Linked DNA regions of Drosophila melanogaster. The protein of the gene in region 3 interacts with the protein of the main gene of each other region in a biochemical or structural test. Each region holds a gene or a part of one and is shown on either strand. Other genes may lie near its edges. The genes, in order: cact, Dek, CkIIalpha and hry.

Region 1 (4,727 bases), on a different chromosome or scaffold from region 3:
GGAATCTTTTGTTACAAATATAAATACTTAAATTAGCTTTTGTTAGAAAATCAAGATGATATGACATTACATTCGTCAATAGGGGATTAAGCTAGATTTTACAAATATGCAAATATCTAAATCTTCTTATTCGATCTTTGTTGAATATTACCTCAGCTCCGGCGAGTAAAAGTATCCTCATGATGTTCGGCTGGGCAGTAAGAGCGGCCAGATGAAGGGGTGTCTGGGCCACATCGTTCTGGATGTTGAGCAGGCACGGATGAGGAGCCATGCGAATCAGGGCGGCCACCACGTCCACTGATCCCGAAATACAGGCCAGGTGCAAAGGTCTGAAATGAGAGAGAGAGAGCAAAAAAAACAACATGAATTTGTGGGTTTCTTTTACCTGGCGATCGAACACCCGCACTTTCTTTCCTTCCTGTACACTTGTCGCCGTTCATGTGGCGGCGTAAAAACCCAAGTAAGTTAAGTAGAGGTAAAGTAATGTGAAGAAAGAAGAGGTGCCCCGAAAAACCTGTTCCCGTACCTGCCCACATACCAGGAAAACCCCAAAGCCTGACTAAAACACATGTGTCAGTCGCGTTTCTCGCCTCAGACAATCGTCTTTGAGTGATTCACGAAACTCTCCCCTTAGCTCGCTTGGTGGTCATCAGTGCAACGCGGCGTTGTCTTTGTTATTTTGGGAAATTTTAGGATTCTCATCGGAAATACGGCACGTATAAGTTCATAGAAATTCGGAAATGATTCAAAGACTGTGCTTATAAATCTTTAATCGTGAATTGTCAATGAGTATGTTAAATTGATTTTTAAGAGCATGAAGACCTAAATTCTAATAAAGATTTTTTTTTGGCGATTGTGACAGTCTAAATATAATCAATCGTTTCCAATTTCAAAAAATACCGTCCAATTGTATAAAATATTTAAAATATAAAGTTCTTATGATTGCTAGTCTAAGAATAAGCATGGGAAAGTTTTTAAAGTGACCTAGAGATAAGGCGCTAAAATGTTTAAATCATACTTGGGAATTTCCCCACATTAAAAATACACATTCGAAGTTATCTATAAATGTGGTTTGCACATATATAAATAATTTGAAAGTCTAGAATAAAGTGACATTTCCTGAGATTCTATAATGTTTACTTACGTGTCGCCGTCGTCGTTTTGTTGATAGAACTGCTCCCAGGCGTTCATGATATTAATGCTGCTGGGCGGAGCGGATGATGTTGCTCCCGATCCCGAAGGATTCGCGTTCGCCGTGCTGGCTGTGGAGGATTGAACCTTGCTGCGACCGGTGATTTGGGTGCTGCTGCTCTGGCCGAGATTGTTAAGCTGTTCGCCGCGACTGACCAAATGGCTTTCGACGGTCCATTGTGGGATGCCTGTGTCCGCGCTGTGTTTGAGTCGCATTGAATCGGCGGTGGCAGTGGTGGTGTCCTGGTGCTCCTCCTCTTTCTCCTGCTCCTCCTGATCCTCTTCTTCGTCGATAATACCGGAATCGAGGACAACGGGCTGTTCCTTTTGGGGTGCCGACTCCTGCTGATCCTTATCCTGTTCCTCGCTATCGGGGACTATCTCCTCGCTGAAGATCTGCGAGGATTGCGGGCCGGAGATGAAGCCCGAATCACTGGTTTCGTTTGGCACGGCAAATTCCTTTTGCTTGTTAATGGCGGCCGTTTGATCTTGTGTTTTGCCGCCAATTTTACCGCTAGTGGCTAGTGAGGACGAGGGGTTAGCCGCGTTTGAGGGGGCGCGCTGCTCAACACTGGCAGCGCTGCAGCTGCAGTCACTTGTTGCTGTTGCCTTTGTTGCTGCCTCCGCTGCTTTTGTTGGGCTCGGCATTTTCGTGCTTTTCCTCTCTCAGTTGGGCTAAAATATATGTATATATGTTATATATATACTCCTGTCGTTTTGAACTTTGCTTTTGAGCCCAGTCTCTCAAACACACACACATACACACGCACAGTAAGCGCTCACCTCGGTGGTGCGAGTGAAACAAACATATAGGCTCCAGCGAACAAGTGAAAACGCAATAATTTTTGTAGATTAAAGGCAATTTATGGACTTATGTACAAGTGTAGCCGCAGAAAAATAAAAATTACGGTTTCACACTGGTTGAAAATTTTAGATTTTTCCATTTGCCAATGTCTTATTTGCCTCTTCACGGTTGTTTCACCCGCACACACCCACAATCACACTGAGGTAGATTTTTTATCTCCCTTTTCACACAGCTTCCTTTTCGCTTTTTATTTTCTGCACATGTTCTGGGTTTAAACCCCAGCACTATTTTCTATGGATTTCTCACTACCTTGCTGGTTAATTGTCTTGCGAAGCTGTCTTTAAAACGCGTATTTATGGTTTAAATGTTTGTAATCTGCAATTCGCATAGTACCCGGACGCACGTCTGCTTTCTTTCACGTTTCGATAGCGAATGAAATTGAGGGAGCGCGCTGATATGTATATATTTATATGGCAGTCTATACTATAAAGCCCCGTTTGCACTAAGAGTTATCACGAAATGAAGAGTCTCGATTTTAAATTTTCTTTACTTAGAAAACTGTTAATTGAAAAAAATCTATTTTTTCATATTTGCCCAAAAAAAATAAAATTCTAGACTTGAAAAGACCGAAGTGAAAACGTTTGCCTTAATATATCGACGATGGAGTGTGTAATCGGGGCTTAAATCAGTTTTACATGTGTGCGAGGGAGACCATAGGGTTGCCAGATAGTAGGGAGAGCGCCAAGTTAAAATCTCCCAACAACAAAATGAGCAGCTAAATGGTCAGCTGCAACAAAAGCAACCACAGCAGCGATGCGTTTATTTATACTTCTTACTCTCTGATTGTGTGATTGTTTAGTTCCTCGAGCGAAGCCACTTGATGTTGATGCTCGGCGTCCTACGGTTGAAATGCGTATGACGGCGAGGCGGACAAATATCTGGGAAATCACCCGCTGACCGAGAACGGAAATGAAATGCAGGATTCTTTCTTCGGTTTTTCACAGGTCAGCTTCGATTGAAACCTCGACCAATTCTGAATTTCATGGGATATTCTGAGCGACCGATTTGTCATACACTCTCCTTCTGGGATTTTTTAACACTCAATCACATTTTATCGCCAATTCATGAAATATTATATATACGATTATTTTGGTTTTTACAAGGTTGTATTGATTAAAAAATTATCTGAATCCAAGAAATTTAGAGGGGCTTTACAAGATTATCAGATTCTTACCATAAAACCTGTGTTTACGGTCACAAGTAGTTTCGAAAGTTTTTGCTCGCTTTTTTAATTTAAAATTTAAAATTCCGCCTCTCGTAGTTGTAAAGTTATTTATTATAACAAATAGGTTATTAAAAAATCGGACTTGTTTCCTAAAATTTTGATTAAATTGCTGGGAATTTGTAAATTACTCTTCAGTTTTAGGGGTTTGGTCATTTCCTTGTCGGGTTTTGCTTTTTGCTTTTGTATGACTTAATTAAATTATTCTTTAAAATTTAAATTCTTCGGCTTCCGATTGAATTTCTTGAATTATTATTTATCAGGCGTTCGTTTTTCTATTAAAAACAAGTGTTTGGTGCCAATCTGATAAATTTATTAAGGTATATAAACTTTTTAAATATTTTGTTAATTTCTAATTATTTGTTTGCTATAACATAAACTTTTATCGTTTTATTAAAACTGTTTTGCTATTCTCGTTATTATAAAATCCAAATATTCATTAAATGTTTTTCTAACAAAATTACGCAACAAAAATGTGACCTGCTAATAAAATTATAGTAGTGTTTTTTAATGTTTATTAATATTAACCAATTACTTTATCGCCCAATTTAAAAATTGCGGGTGATAACAGATGATTTTAAGAGCAGGTAAAACAACAAAAATTAAGTTGGCAGCACTTACCGGCCAATAAGTCAATTGCACAAAATCTTAAACGCAGGACCAGAAATATTTTGCAAAGGACGTCAAGGAATGCTGAGAAGGATGAACACTTTTAGTGGTCAAAAGCTGGCGGCTGTGGTCAAGGAGCTGGAGAACTTTGCTCCGACTTCTTGGGCAGAGAAGTGGGACAATGTGGGACTCCTGATCGAACCGCACCGCGAAAAACAAATCAAGAAAATACTATTAACTAACGATTTAACCGAGCCCGTAGTGAAAGAAGCGCTAGAGAAGGAGGCGGAGCTCATAATCAGCTATCATCCGCCAATTTTCAAGCCCCTGACCAGGATTACGCAGTCACATTGGAAGGAGCGCGTGGTGGCAGCATGCTTGGCCAACGATATAGCCTTGTACTCGCCCCACACGGCGTGGGATAAGAAGAGTGGTGGCGTCAACGACTGGCTATCTAAGGCAGTGAATATCATCAGCATCCGCCCTCTGGAACCGGAGTTGGGTGCTCCTCCGGGTACCGGATCCGGTAGATATATAGAAACCAAAATGGAGCTTTCCCAGGTGGTGGAGTCTCTGCAAAAGCGCATTAGAAACAGCGTGCACGTTGCTCTAGCTGTGGGCCACACCCCCAAGACACTCATCCAATCCGTCGGCATTTGTGCCGGCTCTGGAGCATCTCTGCTGAAGGGTATCCAAGCGGATCTTATCATTACCGGCGAAATGTCCCATCACGAAGTTCTGGAGTTTACTCACAACAATACCACCGTTCTTCTCTGCAATCATAGTAATTCAGAAAGGGGTTTTCTCCATGAGTTTTGCCCTATATTGGCCAAATCTTTA
Region 2 (5,677 bases), on a different chromosome or scaffold from region 3:
TAACATACATCTATTATTACCTTGTAAATATCTAATATTTATAATATTTAACTTTATTCCCTTCCTCATTCCACATTCAATCTTCTGTTTGTTTATTTTTTACTCACAATTTGTTGTGAGCTTGTCTCTAGTTAATAAGCCGAGAAACCTTCCTATCTTCAATCACACTGGGCCCGAGCATTTGTGGTGAACAGCAGGAGTTGGGATGCGATAGAGACATCAAAATCAAAATGGGTTTCAAGGATATATTTTGGGAACAGCAGTTAAACATTTGTATCAGGAGCTCCGCTCAAGTGTGCCTTAAAATTACTCGCCCAAATAATGCATTCTTTTATTACATTAGCCAAAAACTTTTTGTAATCGTGTAAATTTAAAATGGTTTTCCACTTTCGTTTGTTTTTGTACTGCTGCCAGTGTGTGAAATTTCAATATTTCACGCTTTTACAAATTTTTAATTTTGCTTTTTGTTTATTATTTCTTGTGCCTTAAGGTTAAATACATCTTTTCTTGTTAAACGTCAAATCAAAATGCACTACAGTTTAGGTGTTTCTTTTTTATCGGATTTTTACAAGTTTCTCTTTGCTTAATTTACACACTTCGCAGAGCTGTCGTTTGCACATACTTTCAGGAAAATAGAAAATGATGTGCATGCGTGCGCACGGTTGGACAAATAAAAAGTTATATATACAGATGAATATATATAAGAATGGATAGTCGACTGCCGCTGACGTTAGGATTAAGGTGAACTGCAGATAGCTTTTAGGATAGGAGTACAAATCATATACTTATAGGAGACAACTACTTGGAGTTACATTTCGCGAACCATGCCCAACTTCTTTCTGCATCGGCGTACAACGTCCTGACTTTGCTATCGCCTGTTTTGTGTTGTATGTGTACAGAGCCTGGACCCTTCTTCGACTTTAAAGTGGACTTGTCAACGCGTCGTTTTATGTCGCAATTAACTAAGAATTGGGAAATAAATTGAGTTTCAGTAAAACAGAAATTATAAATATGCTTGTAACTTACCGCTTTCACTGTCGCCTTGATGAAGTCTTTCTTGTCTGTTAGGTCAAAGTCTGGATATTTTGCATAAACTTGTTTGCACACGGTTTTCATCGTAATCTCCTCAAGATTGGCTTTATCCAGAATCTCTTTGACATATCCGCGTATTTGTTCATCCTGCAAATAGACGTTCGATGAGGATAACACATTACGATTGCGATTACTGGCTACCAACCGTTGGGAATGCCTGTTTGCCCTTTTTGGTTAGTGGCTCATCCTCGTCGGATTCATCTTTGTCATCGACATCATCATCTTCCTCGGACGATTCCTTCTTTGATTTTTTCGATCGACTATCGGCTGCGGATTACATTAATTGTTATTTCATACGGTTTTCATATTACTTTTAACATACCCTTTCCAGCTGGTTTTGACTTGTTGTTAGCTTTGCTATTTTTCGCAGGCGTAATGGGCTTCTTGCTCTTTTTGGGACGTTCCTCCTGAAAAATTGGCATATACTTGATAAAACACCAAATGCTCGATATTAAATTAAATTTACATACTTCGCTTTGATCGCTGGCAAAATCGGAGACATCCTCCTCCTCTTCATCCTCGGATACCTCCTCATCTTCGCTATCTGAATCTTTACGCTTGCGGGAAGCTGCACCTCGTCCTCTACCCCTTCGTCCAGCTGACGCAGGAGCTGCCGGTCGTCCACGTTTACCCACGGAACCACGTTTACGTTTTGGGACCTGGGGATTTAGTTATTTTTTTTTATATAGGTCACTTGGTCATACGTTTATAATACATACATCACTATCGGCATCGGAAACTTCCGATTCCTCTTCTTCCTCGGAATCAGAGTTTCTTCTGCGACTTTTGCGCGCAGGACGACCGCGTCCACCGCGGCTTGGGACTTTGCGACCTGCTGCACCAGCACCACCACCACGACCACCGTCAGAGTCGGAATTGGCAGAAGGATTGTACTATAAGCAAAACGACAAATGAGCCAAATTGTGCGCATGGTTTCTGGGCGAAGGATACTTACATCTGAGCCCGACTCGGAGTCATCATTTCGTCTCCTTTTGGGAACTGCAACTTTCTGCTCGCTATCGTCAGAGCTGGAGAAATCTACATAGGCGGACATTTCTGAAATTTAAAACGTAAACATGTTTAGATATATACAATACTTTTGATTTAGATGAGCATACTCTTTCCTGCCGTCGCGCGCCTTGGACGTCCGGTGGAATTGCGTGCAGAGCCTCTGCCAGCGCCGCCGCTAGACTTTCCGCTCTTGCGCTTCTTGTCCTCTTCACTGGGCGGGTCCTCCTCATCTTCATCCAGATCCTCGTCCTCGGCATCTTCCTCCTCCTCCTCATCACCCTGCTCCAAGCAAAGCGACTCGTCCGGTTCCATTAGGAATTTGAGCACTCGAAGGACAGTCTCGTTCTTGCTGCCCTTGCGATCGAGGGTAAGGATCTCGCAGATGCTGCGCAGGCCCTTATTATCCACCTTTTTGATGGCCTCCAGCTTTTTGTTGTACTCCGCTGAATCCTTGGCAAACTCGAAACCGGCAAAGGATCGCAAGTTCTTCTTGACCACATTGTTCTTGCCTTGGGCGCCAAAGCAGATCTATAAATGAGGTGTGAAATTAGTTTTTGACAAGTTGTTGGCAAAAATGTTTCTCAGCTAACTTACTGCATGCAATGTTTGCAGACCATCTACACGAGTCTTGTTGATATTCTCATTAATGCGATCAATCTCGGCGAGAGCGACGACATTCTCATCATCCTCGGCCACCTCGTTGTTCTTGTCCAGGCCATCGTTCTCGTCTCCATCGTCATCTTCGGCATCCTCATCATCCTCGTCCTCTTCGTCGTCGTCCTCCTCCTTAGCCACCTTGCCATTCTTGGCCTTGGGCTCAGGTTTCTTGGGCTTATCGGCTCCCGATTTTGGCTTGGACTCATCAGTGGCATCCTTTATCTTGTCCTCTGCATCTAATTTCGGTTTCTTCTTCTCGCTCTCTTCATCGCTAGCTTTCTCATCAGCCTCATCTTCTGGCTCATCGCCGTCTTCCGAGTTCTCCTCGTCCTTTTCGGAGTTGTCCTCCTTTTTAGCATCCTTATTGTTGGACTTCTTTATTACCGGCGAGGGGGATTTCTCCTTTTTGTCCGCTGCAGCTATAATATTAATTGTAATTATTATTATTTGTAAGAGTTCAAATGTAATAAAATAAAAAAGATGTTAAAATAATAAAATGTCTTCAACCTTGGGACGTCCAATGCTAATTTCGTTTGGGAGCGCAAGGGAACATGAATATTGAAGTTTTGCTGTACCTCGGCATTAAACTACGCAGAACCCATTTAAAGGATTTAGCATGAACAAAAGCCAAGGAAGGAAGGAGGAAGGAAAGTTAAGAGAACTCAATCATCAAACTCTAATAATGGTTTTGTAAACATCGACACGGAGGGGGATCGAACCACATGCCAACATCAGCATAGCGCGGTAAACAAGAGAGACACAAGGAGCGACGCTTTAGACCGCAGCGCCACATCGGAACTCTCCCAATAAGTAGACCAAAGCGAACAAGAGGACGAGAGAGGAAAAGAACTTTCCCGAAGAGAGAGCGAAATAGTTCGGCGCGTTTTTTAAAATGCGCGGTAAATTCACTTTGATTTTTGTTTTTCTCTCTCGTTCTTCACACACACAGTTAGTTAGATTGTGTGTTCGCCTGGCTTTGCCTTTTAATTTTTTATTTACCTGCATCCGATTCGGTATTTGAAACAGCCGTTGAGTCTCCTTTGGCTTTTTTATCAGCGACGTCATCAGTGGCGGCAGAGGCAGAGGCGTCGACAGCGGCGGGGGATTCGGCTGCATCTTTGGAGCCCCTTTCCGGCTGTGCCCCCACGGCTTTCGCCACCCCCGCAGTAACCGATGCATTTTCCACATCGCTTACCTTATCGGCGGCATTTTCTTTGGCTGCCGTTTCTGCCGCTTTGTTAGCATCCTTTTCGTGCGGCGATGGCATGGAAAGATACAAAGTCAGAATTGGATTACACTTGCTAATTTTTTGGCGGCCAATACGATGGGTTTCGGTGCGCCTATTTCTTTTTTAATCGAATCGCAATTTGAGTGTGAGTTAGGTCTTCGGCGATTGCGAGTTTGTGTATGCGTGTCTTCTTCGCCGAGCGAGCAAGCGAGTGAGAGAGGGAGCAAGAAATGAGAGAGGCGATAGAAAAAACAACATTGCAAATCTATGAGGCGCACACACACACACTAGTCATCCCGCTCGCACCCACTCGCATCGGCATCTCGAGCCACAACGACGCCATGTTTATACACACAACCGAACGGCGGGAGAGAACCGATAGTCGGGCAGTTAGCCTCGCGGATAATTTGTTGCGCTCTATTTACACACAAAATACGTTAGCAATCCCGCCGTTTTCATTTCACCTCGCTGGCACACACTTTCCGGCGCTTTTTCCCACATTTTTCACCTTTTTACATACCATATTTCTAATGGCTTTTCTGTTTTTCCGTCAGCCGACACACATTCAATCTGCTCACTAGAAGAGGTGTCACAATCGATAGTATTGCAGCCGACAAGCACTAAAAAATACCCGGCAAAATAATGGGTGCCCTTTTCGTTGCTCACTTTTGGCGGGCTTTTTACAAGGGAATTAAGTTGGTATACATGTTCAGTTGTTAATACCATTTTATGATTCTTTATTTTAAAATGCATTTAAATTCTTTCTTGATAGTGTCCAGTCAACTCTATCGCTATTATCCTAAGCTAACCACATTGCTTACCTGTAATTATATTATAATTCATATGTTAGTCTGATCTGAATACAATATTTATATACCCCAATAAAAATATTCAAAAGAAAACTATTTAATTCTGGTATATTTTGATTAACGATAATATTATTCTAATGTATTAGTAACACTGATCTAAATAAAAAAATATTTATATACGTATATTATAATAGTCGAAAGAAATACTTTCTTTTTAAACAAAATGACTGGTATTAACCAGTCCTATATATTTCTGAAATATTTTGCTTTTTAATGAATCGGACTAAATTATATATATATATGCATAAAAAACATATTTGAAGGAGACACTTGCTTTTTAAATGATTTGTTAACCAAAACCATCTAATTTTGGAATATTTTGCAGACCGGTAGTCATATTTTAATTCATCAGTCACGCTGATCTAAATGTTAATATTTATATACGTTCATAAAAATATTCGAAAGAAAATGAAATAAATATGTAAAAACTAACAATTTAGCGAATAAAAAATTTTTTGACGTTCTGGTATTTATGTATTGAAAAGGCGGTCACTCTTGTTGGCAAAAAAGCGCGCGGCGTGTTTTCACAAACAAAACAATTTGATAAACCCCTGGCTATACTTAATATAATCATATATTTAATTAATTACAAGTGTTAAGTTAAAATAAAATCGCCATGGGAATTTTGGGCTTATCTAAGCTCATTGCCGATCTGGCGCCACAGGCGATTCGCGAAAGTGAGATGAAGCATTTTTTCGGTGAGTCCGGTTCTATTTGCTAAATATAAACAAAACTTTAATAGTATGCTCACATTTCAAAGGTCGCAAGGTAGCAATCGATGCTAGTATGTGCCTGTACCAGTTCCTCATCGCCGTGCGCT
Region 3 (7,798 bases):
AAAAATAAAACAAATAAATAAAATATATGCTAACATCACAGCACAAAACAGAAACTTGGTAAGATAATATAAACTTCTATAAACATGAAACATATTAGATTTCCAAAGATCATTTACCGCTCACTAACCTCTTCCAACGAAGCACACGAGAAAAGGAAGACACGAACACCGGAAGCACAAAAGGTTTCGTCGCAAACCGATAATCATGTACTTGAGATAAGTGTTTTCCTTTGTTTTGAAACAATTTGAAATCAAAACTGAATTGCTTTATATGTTGTTCTCACTAAAATCTACATACTGTAAAATATGTATGTGTTCGTGTTCTTCGATACATTTTTATTGGAATAAAAAATATTTTTGGCGATTAAACGTCAAAGCTAAAAAACTACAACTAAATAAGTAAATTAGAATCTTACCTCAACCATAAGCACACCTTATGTTTTTCAACCCAGATTTGTGCTTATCATAACTAAGTCATTGGTATTCGGGCAGATAAATATAACAGTAACATTTACAAAAATTCACATTATATATATTACACTTCATGGTTTTGTATTTTAGCCATTTTCAGCAGTCATTTCGAACGGACCGCTAAGAGTTGTTACTATCCTAGAATAAAGTTACAAAGATTTATATGTTATAAGCAGCAGAAACATTGAGCTTACAATTGTATTGCTTCATTTATTATAGACCCAAACTCAGATAATCCGAATCAGACTAGGTGGCCAATCTCGTTTTGGATATCCAAAGTAGGAATGAGAGTATTTTCTGAGGCACACCAGATATTTTACGTAGTAACATAATCGGCAAAAGGCTGGAATGGTCTAGTCTTTTAACTGAACATTTCGAAGGCAGCTTACAGAATTGGATATCAAAGATTTTTTATTAATTTTTCTGTAATTTACAGACAGACAGAAAACAGACAGTAATAGTAGTCTCTTCCAATTGGCCTATCGACTAATTCACTTTGTGAATTTGAAATCAGGTCTATTGTTCTTATAAAAACCAAATGGCGCTGGATGTCAGATTGCATTTCAAATGTTTAAATAATGCTCTGCTTTCATTGTGATCAATATGAATGCCAAATCTCGAACTCCTCGACTAGATGCATACCCAAATCATAACCGACATTTTGCTAAACTTGACGGTTGCGGTTCTCCAGCGCAGTTAGCGCCTTACGCCACATTCTGTTGGGTCCATCGTCGTATAACACATCATCTTGGTTTCGTCGCAGAAAATTACGTTATTCCAGTAATCTTCTGGCTGATGTTGCATTTCGATAGCGAAAGTAAGCCGCTTTTCGATGTTAATTGTCGGCAGCATCGGTTTTTTTCTTGCTACCCGTGAGTGGTACTTATGACGGAGTATGGCTTGGCGCACTGTTTCGTGTCACACATCCAGATCGCAGCCCTCCTTAAGCTAATTAGCAACAGTTCTTAAAGATATTTGCGGATTTTCATAAATTTTTCGCATAGTAACTCGGTTTGAACGGTTGGAAATTTTATTTTTACGTCCTGTTCCACATTTTGATTCCAATCTGCCCTCGTTTTTGTGCGATTAATTACGTTATAAATTGTTCCCCGCGATGCAGAAAACATTTCTGACAATTCCGTGACAGATTTTCCCAAATGGTGATTATAAACTCAATCTTCTGCCAGGCATTTCTAAATTTCTCAAAACTAACTGGAGCAAAGATCACTTCACTTTCTCAACCAAATGCAACGAGTATAAAGAAATATGTAAATGACGATTCTGTACCGTTTAGTTATCGAAATTTCTCGGAATAGGAGCAAAATTGAAAACAAAAGAATTCCTTGACAGTGTCAAATCTATGCAAACTTGGTTTCAGTTGTTTTTCTTGTTCATTGTCAATAGTTTTGTTATTTTTTTTTCACATATTGATAAAAAACATATAAATAAATAGTTATCAATAAAAATAAATTCATGCCTTTTAATAAAAGGCCTTTATATTTTTGCATTGAAAGTCAAATATACAATTTATTTTCATTGTGCAAACAATTTCTTGACAAACTGTATGTACATTTTCTTTCACTGAAGTAATATTTTTGATCGCCATAGTAAAAAGGACACGAAGAATTTAAACTAACCGTACTCACAATAAGAAAATGACGAAAACAATAGAAGCAGACAGAGAAGGGCGAAAAGGTGTGGTTTATTTATTACGTTTCTGTCCAGTTGCATTTCCAATTCTTAATCGTCAAGATCGTAATTTTTTGTTGTTGTTATGCAGAAAAAGAAGCACTTAGTAATACTTATTTCCTTTGATACCTTCCGTACTTCCGACTGGGATTTTCAAGCTTACCGTTATCTGAACAGAAGAACAACGGAAAAACTATCTTGGTATAATCTGCAAAGTAAAACAAAATGCAGAACAAAATAAGTTTAAAATTACTGCAGATCAGTCAAAGTTCAGCAACGATGGCACGTGGTAAGCATATTTGCACCGAAATCAGAGTATTGATATATATAATATAATATAATATAATATAATAATTCTATAATATATATAGAATATATATACAGTTTGTCAAAAAACTGTTTACACACTGTGAACTCTTTACACAAAACACATTTAGTGTTTTGTTTAATTTATTTAGTTTAATCCTAAATTTTTAAATTATTTTATTAAAATTTTAAAAGTTTTGGTATGTAGTATGTTCCCCATTGGCTTTAGCTACAAGTTGAAGCCTTTTTTTCATGGATTGGACAAGTTTTTGCAGGTCATATTCAAACGGGATCTTTTCACAATCTTCGACTATTACAGTCATACGCTGTTGTTGTGTTTTAGGTCCCTTTTTGCCACCTTCTTCGTTAAGTAGGTCCACAAATTTTCAATGGGGTTCAGATCAGGACTCTGAGGGGGCGTATCGATCACTTTACCACAGTTATAAGGGCGCCAGGTGCGTACATTGCACTCTTTATGTTTCTGATCATGTCCTCTTAAAATATAAAATTTGGCTTGTTGTTGCTAACTAGACCAAATTTTTCTGCACTGGCCTTCAAATTTGTTTTTTAAAATTCCTAGATATTGCACGGCATTTATTGTGCTCTCAATTAAGGCTAGTTTTCCCACTCCACGGCTGGTGATACAGCCCCAAACCATTAGTGACATTTTTCCAAATTTTATCGTTAGAATGGTATTTTGTTTTTCTAGCGCACTCAACGGTTTGCGCCATACTCTGCTTGGCCCGTCGTTATAAAAGAGCATCATATTTGTTTCGTCACAAAATATGACGTCATCCCAGTACTCTTCCGCATGATCCATCATGCTCACAGCGAATGATCGACGCTTTTCAATATTGGCATCTGATAGCAAAGGGTTTTTCCTTGCAACTCTTGAAGAGTACCTATGGCGTAGGATGACTTGGCGCACAGTTTCGTGTGACACAGTTAGGTGACATTCTTGCCTGATATCCAGAGCAAGTGCTCTGACCGAGATTCGGGGGTTCGCAATCACTATTCGCATAATAAAGCGGTCTACACGCTTTTTAATATTAATTTTCCGCCCACCACCACTCTTAGGTTCAAGCCTGCCCTCTTTTTCCGAGCCTTTTAAAACATTGTAGACGGTCTTACGGGATACAGGAAACATTTATACTAATTCTGGAAAAGATTTTCCCAACTGGTGGTTATAGTTTATTAATTGGGTAACTTCAAAAGTTAATCTCTTTCCAGGCATTTTATTAAATTTAATAATTCGCTTTAAGCACGTTTGATCAGCAAAATTTAACAAGCAAAGTCAACAAATTTCAATAGAAGCGTTGTAAAAAGCAATGCAAAGCCAAAAATAACGGAAAAATCGAGTTCGTTCTAAGAAAAAGAACAAAACAAAGTAGGAAAACAAAATGTGTAAAGAGTTTCTTGACAGTCTCAAAAGTGTGTAAACTTGGAATTTGTTGTTTATTTTCTTGTATATTTAATATTTTTAATTTGTTTTTTGATTTATAAGTAAAATAAATATTGTTTAATTATATTTTATAAAAAAAAATGCGTTTAATTAAGAAAAAAAACCCTTAATTTTTAGCTTTAAAGTCAAAAATTCAACTTATTTTACAGTGTGTAAACAGTTTCTTGACAAACTGTATATATTCTATAATTCTAACCACAGATTTCAATAATCGTATGTTATTGTTTTTATAAACAAATGTAATCTATCAGTGTTTCCCCGACAGAAATAAAATAATAATAGACCCTAAATAAATTCCTAACTAATTTTATAAAATAGCTGGATCAGTTTCACTTCCATCGTTTCTGACATAAGGATGATTTTTTGATCTATCTTGACTACCTACTGTTTTGTTATGCAGTAAAATAGACGGCGGTTAAGCTAACCTTCTTAAAATATGAAAAATTTTCTCCGTAACCACGTACACTGGTTTTTTTTTTACTAAGACGTGAGTATTATTACTCTTGTCATTAAATGGCATTAAATTAACATGTATATGCGGATTTTGCGTTACAGCGTATTTTCTCAAGAGCATGAAATCAGTGAAATATATCAATAATTGTATATATGTTGTGGAAAGTCTTTGAAATTTTTTATGCATGTACATAAATAGGTACATATGGGGCCATTCTGAATCATGCCGTCATGAAGCCGGTGAACTCGTCTAAAGTTTTTTCTGAATTTTAGAGTGGTTGTCATTATGATATTCGTGTGTATTTTTAACATTGGCGTATGTACTCGTTTTTACTAATAATTTGTTCAGTAGCGAATGTATTCATTGAAATATAACATTGCATACACATGGATTTATGTATGCACATATATTTTATATACACTTTTGTATATACCAAGGGTTTATTTATGTAAATGATTTCGCATAATATATGTATTAATAAATATCTAAGTATTTATATAAAAGCAAATTTAAAATTTATTTTCATTAGTATACCTGCTTATTATATAAATTAGTGCAAAACTGTGAGGAACATACCCGGCATACACTGTGGATATCATACGAGACGGAGAAATCTTTTAAAATACTTTGGCAAGCCAGCTTATAACAATCAATCTTCAAAAATTGGGTACGTTTTTATCCATATTTATACTTAGGCACGTGCATTGATTGAATTCCACTGAATTCCAACAGTATTTGCGTGGAAAATATGTATGTCTGCAAGAACCGCCTTTTTGCAAGCGCGGCGCAAACCATCGATTAAACTCTTTTGGTTGCTCTATAACTTAATAAATTCATGCTGAAAAATATTAATTAAGTGCACACGATTAAGAAACCCACATGTTTGTACTTCTTACATTATTTGTTTTGCAGCTTTTTAATATAATACATTCTTCCTAAATTATTTTAATTAAAACATTTATAATAATCGTAAGACAGACTTTTAGCTGATTATAGAATTAGGGTAAAAGTCTTTCAAACAAAAACACCACGTATCGAGGTAAAGAGCCATCAACGCTCGCAACTGCAACATACAAGGTGTTTAATTTCAACTTTTGTCAAGAATAATAAATTACTTTCCAATAAATTATTATTATTCTTTAATTGACTTATGGGCACGATATATCAAAATAATAATTGCCATAATAGCCCTAGAGTCTTGCCAAATAAGTGAATTTTGTAGTCAAATGTAAAATACGTTTTCGTGCCAAAGTTTAAAATCAGGAACATATGAAAAATCGTTCGTAATACGATCGTAAAAAATTTTTTTTAACTCGATGTATTTTAGTTTGATATTATCAATTGCAAAAGGACACTTAATTCCTCTGCAGTCGGGACTTTAAAACAAGACAACAAGTGAAAAAAGGTAGTACAATTTTTGGTGATCATCTAAAGTTATAATATTTATCGAAATAGCTTTTCCACTAAACACAACTTAAGTCTTCATGAATCCGAAAGTGGGTGTTTTTGTTGCTAAAAAACCTTCAAACATTTATTTATTTGACTCGTGTTACACTTTGATTACAATCACCGTTGTGTGATTCTTCTCAACTCGGTGAATGCGTGAACGATATCTGCATATATTCGGAATTTTAACAACTCATAAAACCTTGTTCATCTTAACGTTCTAGCATCCATAGTTACCGAGAACTAGGCGTTCTTAAGTACGTAGGAATAAGGAATAATCCTGATCGAAAATATCAGGGGTTCCACAAAAACTATAGGTGAAGTTGGACAGGTTTTGGAATGGATTAAAAAATTATAAACCGTGACACAGAACTCCGAGTGTTATTTATTTTTTTGCACTTCACGCTAACGGTTGTATCCATTTGAAAAATAAAGACGACTCGGTTTTGCTAGGCTACTTTTTGAGACAAATTTATAAATATTAGTAATATATTGATTATTTTTCTTCTTGCTTCTTTGGTACGCATCTGATCCAGCATATCATATATATATCATTTATCTAAATTATTAATTTAAACAAAGTTTTAGATACAATTATCGCGTTTGAAGGTGGAAAGTCTCATTATCTTTAGATCAACATTTCGAGCGAAAGAACTTTGTTTTGTTTTCGTTTGGAGAGTTGCAGAGCTGCTAGATGACGGAAGTACAATAACCTACAAATGATTTTGCAAATGAAATTGCATATGCAGAAAGAAATTTGTAACATTTGTAAAACTTCATTTACCTCGAATAATGTTAGTGGTTACAGTTGATTTTGTTTATTATTACTCAATTTTCTTTCTATGTTAAGACGATTAAAATTTGGCATTTTGCGTTACTGATATAACGATATTTAAGCTGTTTCGGAAATGTGTTATGCTATGAAGAGGTGTAGACATGTGTTTCCGATTGCTTCTGATTAAATACGTTTTCGTTTTACTTTCAGATTGTTGTACAATAATAATATTGTTAGGACCACCAACCGACTGAGAACGGAATCAGCTCACATAAACTTACTGCTACAACCCGAAAAAAATTTTAACAAGGAGGCAGAAAGGAACGTTTTGTTGAGAAAAATGACACTTCCTAGTGCGGCTCGCGTGTACACAGATGTCAATGCGCACAAACCGGATGAATATTGGGACTATGAAAATTATGTGGTTGATTGGGGCAATCAAGACGATTATCAGTTGGTCCGTAAATTAGGCCGTGGAAAGTATTCTGAGGTCTTCGAGGCCATTAATATTACGACCACGGAAAAGTGCGTTGTTAAAATTCTGAAACCTGTTAAAAAAAAGAAGATAAAGCGTGAAATCAAAATTTTGGAGAACTTGCGTGGAGGAACTAATATAATAACACTTTTAGCCGTTGTCAAGGACCCAGTTTCTCGAACACCAGCGTTGATTTTTGAGCACGTCAACAACACAGATTTCAAGCAACTTTACCAAACATTAACTGATTATGAGATTCGTTACTACTTGTTTGAGCTTCTTAAGGCACTTGACTACTGCCACAGCATGGGAATAATGCATCGTGATGTAAAGCCCCACAATGTTATGATAGATCACGAAAATCGAAAATTGCGCCTTATAGATTGGGGACTTGCCGAATTTTACCATCCTGGTCAAGAATATAATGTTCGTGTGGCTTCGAGATACTTTAAAGGTCCCGAATTACTGGTAGATTACCAGATGTATGATTACTCACTGGATATGTGGTCACTAGGTTGTATGTTGGCGTCGATGATATTCCGAAAAGAGCCATTTTTCCACGGACATGATAACTATGATCAATTGGTACGCATTGCCAAGGTGCTGGGCACCGAAGAACTCTACGCATATTTGGATAAATACAATATTGACCTCGATCCAAGATTTCACGACATTCTACAGCGTCACTCACGAAAGCGATGGGAAAGATTTGTCCATTCT
Region 4 (5,830 bases), about 14 Mb from region 3:
CGACGTCCGCCACTACCGTCTATATATATATGTATCCATATTGTTGGGGCATGTGTTCTCGGCATAACAACCTTCTCTGGCGACCACAAAACGCACAACACTTTAGACAACCGTCAAAAATGTCAGAAATTCCCCAAACTTTTTGAGTATTTTCACGAATCGATAGATATGCATATTTGTAAGACGTGATTGTTGATTAAGTTCAATTTCATTTAATTATTAAGCAGAAATTAAGTGTAGTAAAATCAAATTAACTTCTAAACGTTTTTTTACTCATCTTCATTAGAGTCAACTTTATTAGTTTCTATAAAAACACTGCCAGGTGGTTTCGCTATAAAAAAAATATTGTAAACACCCGTTTTTAGCCAACTTGAATGTTTAAAGCCTGACTGACTCATTCCAATGTAACTTTGTTGACGATTCGTGGTTTTGGTATAACTTCACTAATCAGTGGTCAGAGTCCAAGTCAGGCTTTAAAAATATTTCCCAAGAACAAACGTCAAAGATAACGTAATTTCCTTTTATAGATCGTGTAACCTAAATATGTGTCATCTACCTTTACTGAGCTCAGCCTGGTTAAACTAATTACATGGTTATTACCATTTCTTAAAACTTAACCCATATTTTGTAAATAATAGATGGCTTAAGCAGTTATTTAAAATATCACTTTCGGTTGTAACGAAATGTGTGTGACGCACTTTGGCTTTTTACTACCAAATAAACAATATAATTTAAGCTTCATTTTCACTGTAATATTCCCAGTTTTCACTGCAATGCCCCTCTTCTCATTCTGCTAATGAATGGTTAGTTTTCTGATGCCCGACTATTCCGCGTGTCGCGTAATTATAGTCAACCTTCGATAAATCATTACTCCAAAACAAAACAACAAATAATATATGAAAAACGTGAAAATCCAACGCTGCACGTAGAAGCCATCAAGCTGAATCTAAGCGTCCGGCGGAGCACGTGTGATCCACGCAGCCTTGTCCACAGCGATTTCCATTTCATTTAGCCCGTTGGCGGCTATCGATCAAAAGCCAAAAGGGCGACCTTCACTTAATTGAGGCGTACGGCATGCTGAATGAGTCGGTTGTACAGACTGGTCTGGAAAATGCTAGGGGGATAACTATAGCCACCACCCACTGCCCGATCGCCCAACCACCCAACCACCCAACCACCCACTTCCGCCTAGCGTGCGCACAACCTTGTGATCTTGTTTACTGTTTAGCGACCCCCGAGCCGCAGATACACAGTACACAGCACAAAAAACCGAACCTGTCGCACTGGGGTGGCGTCATATAGCCAGCTATTTTCACCTTCTATGGGACGTCGTCGCGTTGGCCGCATGAATCAGCAAACCACGAACGGCGAGCCACCAGAAACCACCGCAGAAGCAGCAACAACACCAACACCACCGCGACCATCACCAACAGCACAGCCAGAAACACAGCCTCTTGTGAATCCCTCAGTTAGCAGAGCCCAGCAGAGTCAAGCCAAACCGATCGCTGATCGACCGACCGACCGACGATCACCAATGGGGGTTTCGCAGTGTGATTTCCAAAAAGGAAGAAATGCCCATTCCCGCGAGCCACGGGGGCGTATGAGTAACGCGGTGTGTACTTTAGGTACCGCTCACAAGCGTGAGCACGCACACACACACACACACACTGAAGCGAGCAGGTAGCGCATAATGTATACCCCTAGGTAGCCGCAATGCCAGTGCAATTGTATTGGTGCGGTCGTGTGGCTCGCGCTCGCGTCTCGCAGCGGCGATTTAGCCTACGAACCTGTCGATCAATCGTCAGTCTTCCGCCGAGAGCCCAGCGATAAGGTAGTCCCGCTACGCTCCGCAACATCCAGACGCAGTAAAGCAAATACTTATATATATATATACATACATATATATAGCGCAACCATCCGAAAGCCGAACGATCGATCTTCTGCTTCGTGCCGAGTCGTTTCGGTCTTTTAATCGCACTGCAGCCAGAACCTGCTGCTCATTCGCCTGCCGTATTTCGTAGCGTGCGGTTCTATCGCTCCGCTTTGATAAACCGAATCGAAATCTAGAGAACCCCCCCAGACACAATACCATTTTACGTGCTTCTCTGCGACGCTGCGCGAAAGTGAAACCACCAAGTGAACTTGAAAAAAAAAAAAACTGACAACTTGAGTTATTCTAAAAAAAGCAAAAAAGCAGTGAACTTATATTGCAAAGAGCAGCAAATTCAGATTTGCTGCCAAGTGAAAACCAAACTGTGCCTCAAACTCAACAAACAATATCTGACCGAAATGGTTACCGGCGTAACAGCAGCCAACATGACCAACGTTCTGGGCACCGCCGTTGTGCCGGCCCAGCTCAAGGAGACGCCGCTCAAAAGTGACCGTCGGGTAAGTTTCTTTCGAGAAAAATAAGACTCGAAAAAAAAAATCCAAAGCCAAAAACAAAAAACCCCGTCAATGGATTAAATCAGAACCTCTAGTTCCCCGAAATCTGTGGATTAACTGAAGCGAACCAAACCGAGAATTCCCCTAATTGAGAGCCACCCACTTCGAGCTCAAGTTGATTTCCATTCGCGACTGTGGGCGACTGGCCCCATCAATCCCGCTGCCCAAATGCATTTCCTTTTTAGCCATCTCCCACATGGCTGGCTGGGAATAAAAATACGAAAAAAGAAAAACACTCTGAGCCAGACCAAAAAAAGGCCGCAACTGCCGTCGGCGCGCCAACACAAAGCGAATTTATCTCGCGTCGCGTTGGTGGCATTTACTATATGGCATATGGCATACTACTCCGACTACACACACGCTCCATCCATTCATGAGTGCCGCCCAAAATTGGCTGGCGTAGCTGCCCACCAGCTCCCCAGATTCGGACTCGGATTCGGATTTGGCTGCCACTTGGCGCGTGCGTCGCGTGGTGGCTGCAATTGTCGGTCATCAGCCGCCGTTTTTGGCCATTCGAACGGCACCGGTTCAATGAGTTGGCCAGAAAAAAAAAAACTGACTTCATGCGAGTCCAAATTTGGCAACTTGTGCTCCCTAGATAATAATGTACCTAGTTATGGCATCTTCGAATTTCCCGCTCTGACCTTGTCACATTCTCTTTATTTTTGCTCATACCTGGTTGGTTTATTTATAGCCACTGCCTGTAATTTATAACCGCCAAACTATTTTTAAATAAATGCCTCGGCCGAGTGGCGCTATAAATAGAGCACGCGCCGTGCGACTAAATTTGGCCGCCAGCCAGTCAATCCGCTCCCCAACCTACGCCGCCTCCTCCTTGATCTCCTCCAATCCAATTGAAGACCCATGCAGCTTCCTCTATTTTTGGGTCGTTGCATGAGGTCAAATTAGCCGTGCAAAAGCCGTGACTAATCGATGTTTTTTTTTTCCATTTCTTGCCTCTTGCAGTCGAACAAGCCCATCATGGAGAAACGCCGACGTGCCCGTATTAACAACTGTCTCAATGAACTCAAGACTCTGATTCTGGATGCCACCAAAAAAGACGTAAGTATCTGACAAAAATATAAGTTTAAAGCCACAAATAAAATAAAAAAAACTACATATTTGAAATTATCTCAAATATTTTTTAAAAGTTTAAATCATTGACTAATTTCCAAATTATTTTCTCTCTCTACTTTTAGCCGGCTCGCCACTCCAAATTGGAAAAGGCCGACATTCTGGAGAAGACAGTAAAGCATCTGCAGGAGCTGCAGCGCCAGCAGGCAGCCATGCAGCAGGCCGCCGATCCCAAGATTGTGAACAAATTCAAGGCCGGATTCGCCGACTGTGTGAACGAGGTTAGCCGCTTTCCCGGCATCGAGCCCGCCCAGCGTCGTCGCCTGCTACAGCACCTGAGCAACTGCATCAATGGCGTTAAGACAGAGCTGCACCAGCAGCAGCGCCAGCAGCAACAGCAGTCCATCCACGCCCAGATGCTGCCCTCGCCGCCCAGCTCGCCGGAGCAGGATAGCCAGCAGGGAGCAGCGGCACCCTACCTCTTTGGTATCCAGCAGACGGCCAGCGGTTACTTTCTGCCCAATGGCATGCAGGTGATCCCCACCAAGCTGCCCAACGGTAGCATTGCCCTCGTGTTGCCCCAGAGCCTGCCCCAGCAGCAGCAGCAACAGTTGCTGCAGCACCAACAGCAGCAGCAGCAACTCGCCGTCGCAGCAGCAGCAGCGGCCGCAGCAGCAGCACAACAGCAACCCATGTTGGTCAGCATGCCCCAGCGTACAGCCAGCACCGGATCCGCCAGCTCGCACTCCTCCGCCGGATACGAGTCGGCGCCCGGAAGCAGCAGCAGCTGTAGCTACGCCCCGCCCAGTCCGGCCAACTCTAGCTACGAGCCCATGGACATCAAGCCATCGGTCATCCAGCGCGTGCCAATGGAGCAGCAGCCCCTGTCGCTGGTGATCAAGAAGCAGATCAAGGAGGAGGAGCAGCCCTGGCGGCCCTGGTAGAGGGTGTCTGCATATGCATATCATATAGCATAGCCACCCCTATCGAATCTCCCGCTTTTAAGACTGACCCCCCACAACTCATCCAACTCGCACACATGCGCAGGCGTTGTGCGCATGCGCGTAGACATTTCACATCATTCGCCGGGATTGCGCAAATGTTGCTTTGAAGTGTTGCAAACATGCGAATCCTAAACTCGGTTCACAACTTCGTTGGCTTAGTTTCCTGGCTTATATCCTGGAAACCCGTCGACGAGGCTAAGGACCTTCATCAGACGCACCCACACACAAACACACACACGCAAACGTTGTTATAATTTATTTATTATTATATTATGTAATCGATTTGAGAGAACGGTATTCTACCAGGACATCGCCAAACTACCTCAGTCCAAGTACTTGGTGTTGAATTGCCTCATGTATCATGTATTACTCTTTGAATAACAGCAAATCAGCAAAAGTCTTCCAAACACAGAAAATGAAAATGCGAAAATAAGCACCTGAAAAGCTGAAATACTTTTTATGAAAAAGATAAACGCAAAAGCATAACTCTTACACATAGTCGTACATCTCCATTTAAGTATAGGTTTTGTACCATAGCCAGCTAAGCCGCTTAGGGTTTCTCTCGCTCTTAAGTCTAATCAAAGAATAATTATATTTATAAAACACACAAATCTATTCGTAAGGCCACGTGATATAGTGAACATAATGAGCTTCTAAGAAAACAAAACAAGAATTTGATGCAAGCAAAAGCAAAAAAATCAACAAGAAAGAAAAAACAAACAAACAACACACTAAAAAGAAATAAATTTAAAAGATTCTACTAAAAAATCAAATACGCAAAACGGATTTGTTATTGTGGTTGGGGTATCTTTTCCTGGGTTTTTTTTTCATTCGGGTGAAAGTCCCATTATGGTTCTTTTTTTTGTTTTAGAGGTCAAACGCTTTGAGTGACAGGAAACTTATCGAGCCCCCCGACTTATCGTAGCAAATTTCGACGCTAATTATTATAATGCCAATGGTGAAATTCATTTTGCTGGAGAGGATCGGCGGGGATTTCGACGATAATACAACTACGTTTTAAGGGGCTCGATTATGTCCGTTTCTGCTAATATAATCGGCACGACGAGTTGAAGGTTTTTCTGTGGCCAGACCGTAACGGATATAGATATATGTGCATCATAAACATTATATAGGAATGCCTTGATTTTCACACATCCGTTCGATAGGCCAGTAATTCGAAACAGTTGTGACGAAATAAATACTTATTATAATCCTTTGATCGATAATATTTTAAAATATTTTGCAATTTAATCATTGGTTATTCCAATCGAAGTGATCAGCAAAAGTTAAGGCGCACAAGGGTATAT

What was found.
Region 1: of the proteins of CkIIalpha (region 3) and cact, one has a biochemical effect on the other in vitro, tested with the Drosophila melanogaster proteins (one study listed by BioGRID).
Region 2: of the proteins of CkIIalpha (region 3) and Dek, one has a biochemical effect on the other in vitro, tested with the Drosophila melanogaster proteins (one study listed by BioGRID).
Region 4: of the proteins of CkIIalpha (region 3) and hry, one has a biochemical effect on the other in vitro, tested with the Drosophila melanogaster proteins (one study listed by BioGRID).

The regions. Positions count from the first base shown.
Region 1 is NT_033779.5:16,323,189-16,327,915, forward strand, and holds the start of cact (cactus), read right to left. Parts: upstream 3,020-4,727; 5' UTR 2,833-3,019; intron 2,438-2,832; exon of another isoform or gene 2,306-2,437; intron 2,233-2,305; exon of another isoform or gene 1,867-2,232; 5' UTR 1,840-1,866; coding exon 1,145-1,839; intron 330-1,144; coding exon 152-329; intron 1-151. Other genes in the region: CG4278 (uncharacterized protein), read left to right, coding at 3,969-4,727. UniProt on the Drosophila melanogaster protein: Involved in the formation of the dorsoventral pattern. It inhibits nuclear translocation of the dorsal morphogen in the dorsal region of the embryo. Acts as a negative regulator of the NF-kappa-B (rel) signaling pathway.
Region 2 is NT_033778.4:16,855,135-16,860,811, reverse strand, and holds Dek (Dek), read right to left. Parts: upstream 4,171-5,677; 5' UTR 4,028-4,170; coding exon 3,760-4,027; intron 3,400-3,759; exon of another isoform or gene 3,234-3,399; intron 3,180-3,233; coding exon 2,698-3,179; intron 2,632-2,697; coding exon 2,211-2,631; intron 2,149-2,210; coding exon 2,048-2,148; intron 1,986-2,047; coding exon 1,812-1,985; intron 1,752-1,811; coding exon 1,563-1,751; intron 1,500-1,562; coding exon 1,415-1,499; intron 1,360-1,414; coding exon 1,238-1,359; coding exon of another isoform or gene 1,223-1,237; intron 1,180-1,222; coding exon 1,027-1,179; intron 963-1,026; coding exon 948-962; 3' UTR 542-947; downstream 1-541. Other genes in the region: Fen1 (flap endonuclease 1), read left to right, coding at 5,474-5,555, 5,618-5,677.
Region 3 is NT_037436.4:23,095,309-23,103,106, forward strand, and holds the start of CkIIalpha (casein kinase IIalpha), read left to right. Parts: upstream 1-1,763; 5' UTR 1,764-2,166; intron 2,167-2,251; 5' UTR 2,252-2,449; intron 2,450-4,331; exon of another isoform or gene 4,332-4,415; intron 4,416-4,907; exon of another isoform or gene 4,908-4,936; 5' UTR 4,937-5,049; intron 5,050-5,697; exon of another isoform or gene 5,698-5,787; intron 5,788-6,813; 5' UTR 6,814-6,943; coding exon 6,944-7,798. UniProt on the Drosophila melanogaster protein: Casein kinases are operationally defined by their preferential utilization of acidic proteins such as caseins as substrates. The alpha chain contains the catalytic site. May participate in Wnt signaling.
Region 4 is NT_037436.4:8,673,961-8,679,790, forward strand, and holds hry (hairy), read left to right. Parts: upstream 1-1,798; 5' UTR 1,799-2,289; coding exon 2,290-2,388; intron 2,389-3,411; coding exon 3,412-3,507; intron 3,508-3,644; coding exon 3,645-4,463; 3' UTR 4,464-5,293; downstream 5,294-5,830. UniProt on the Drosophila melanogaster protein: Pair-rule protein that regulates embryonic segmentation and adult bristle patterning. Transcriptional repressor of genes that require a bHLH protein for their transcription (e.g. ftz).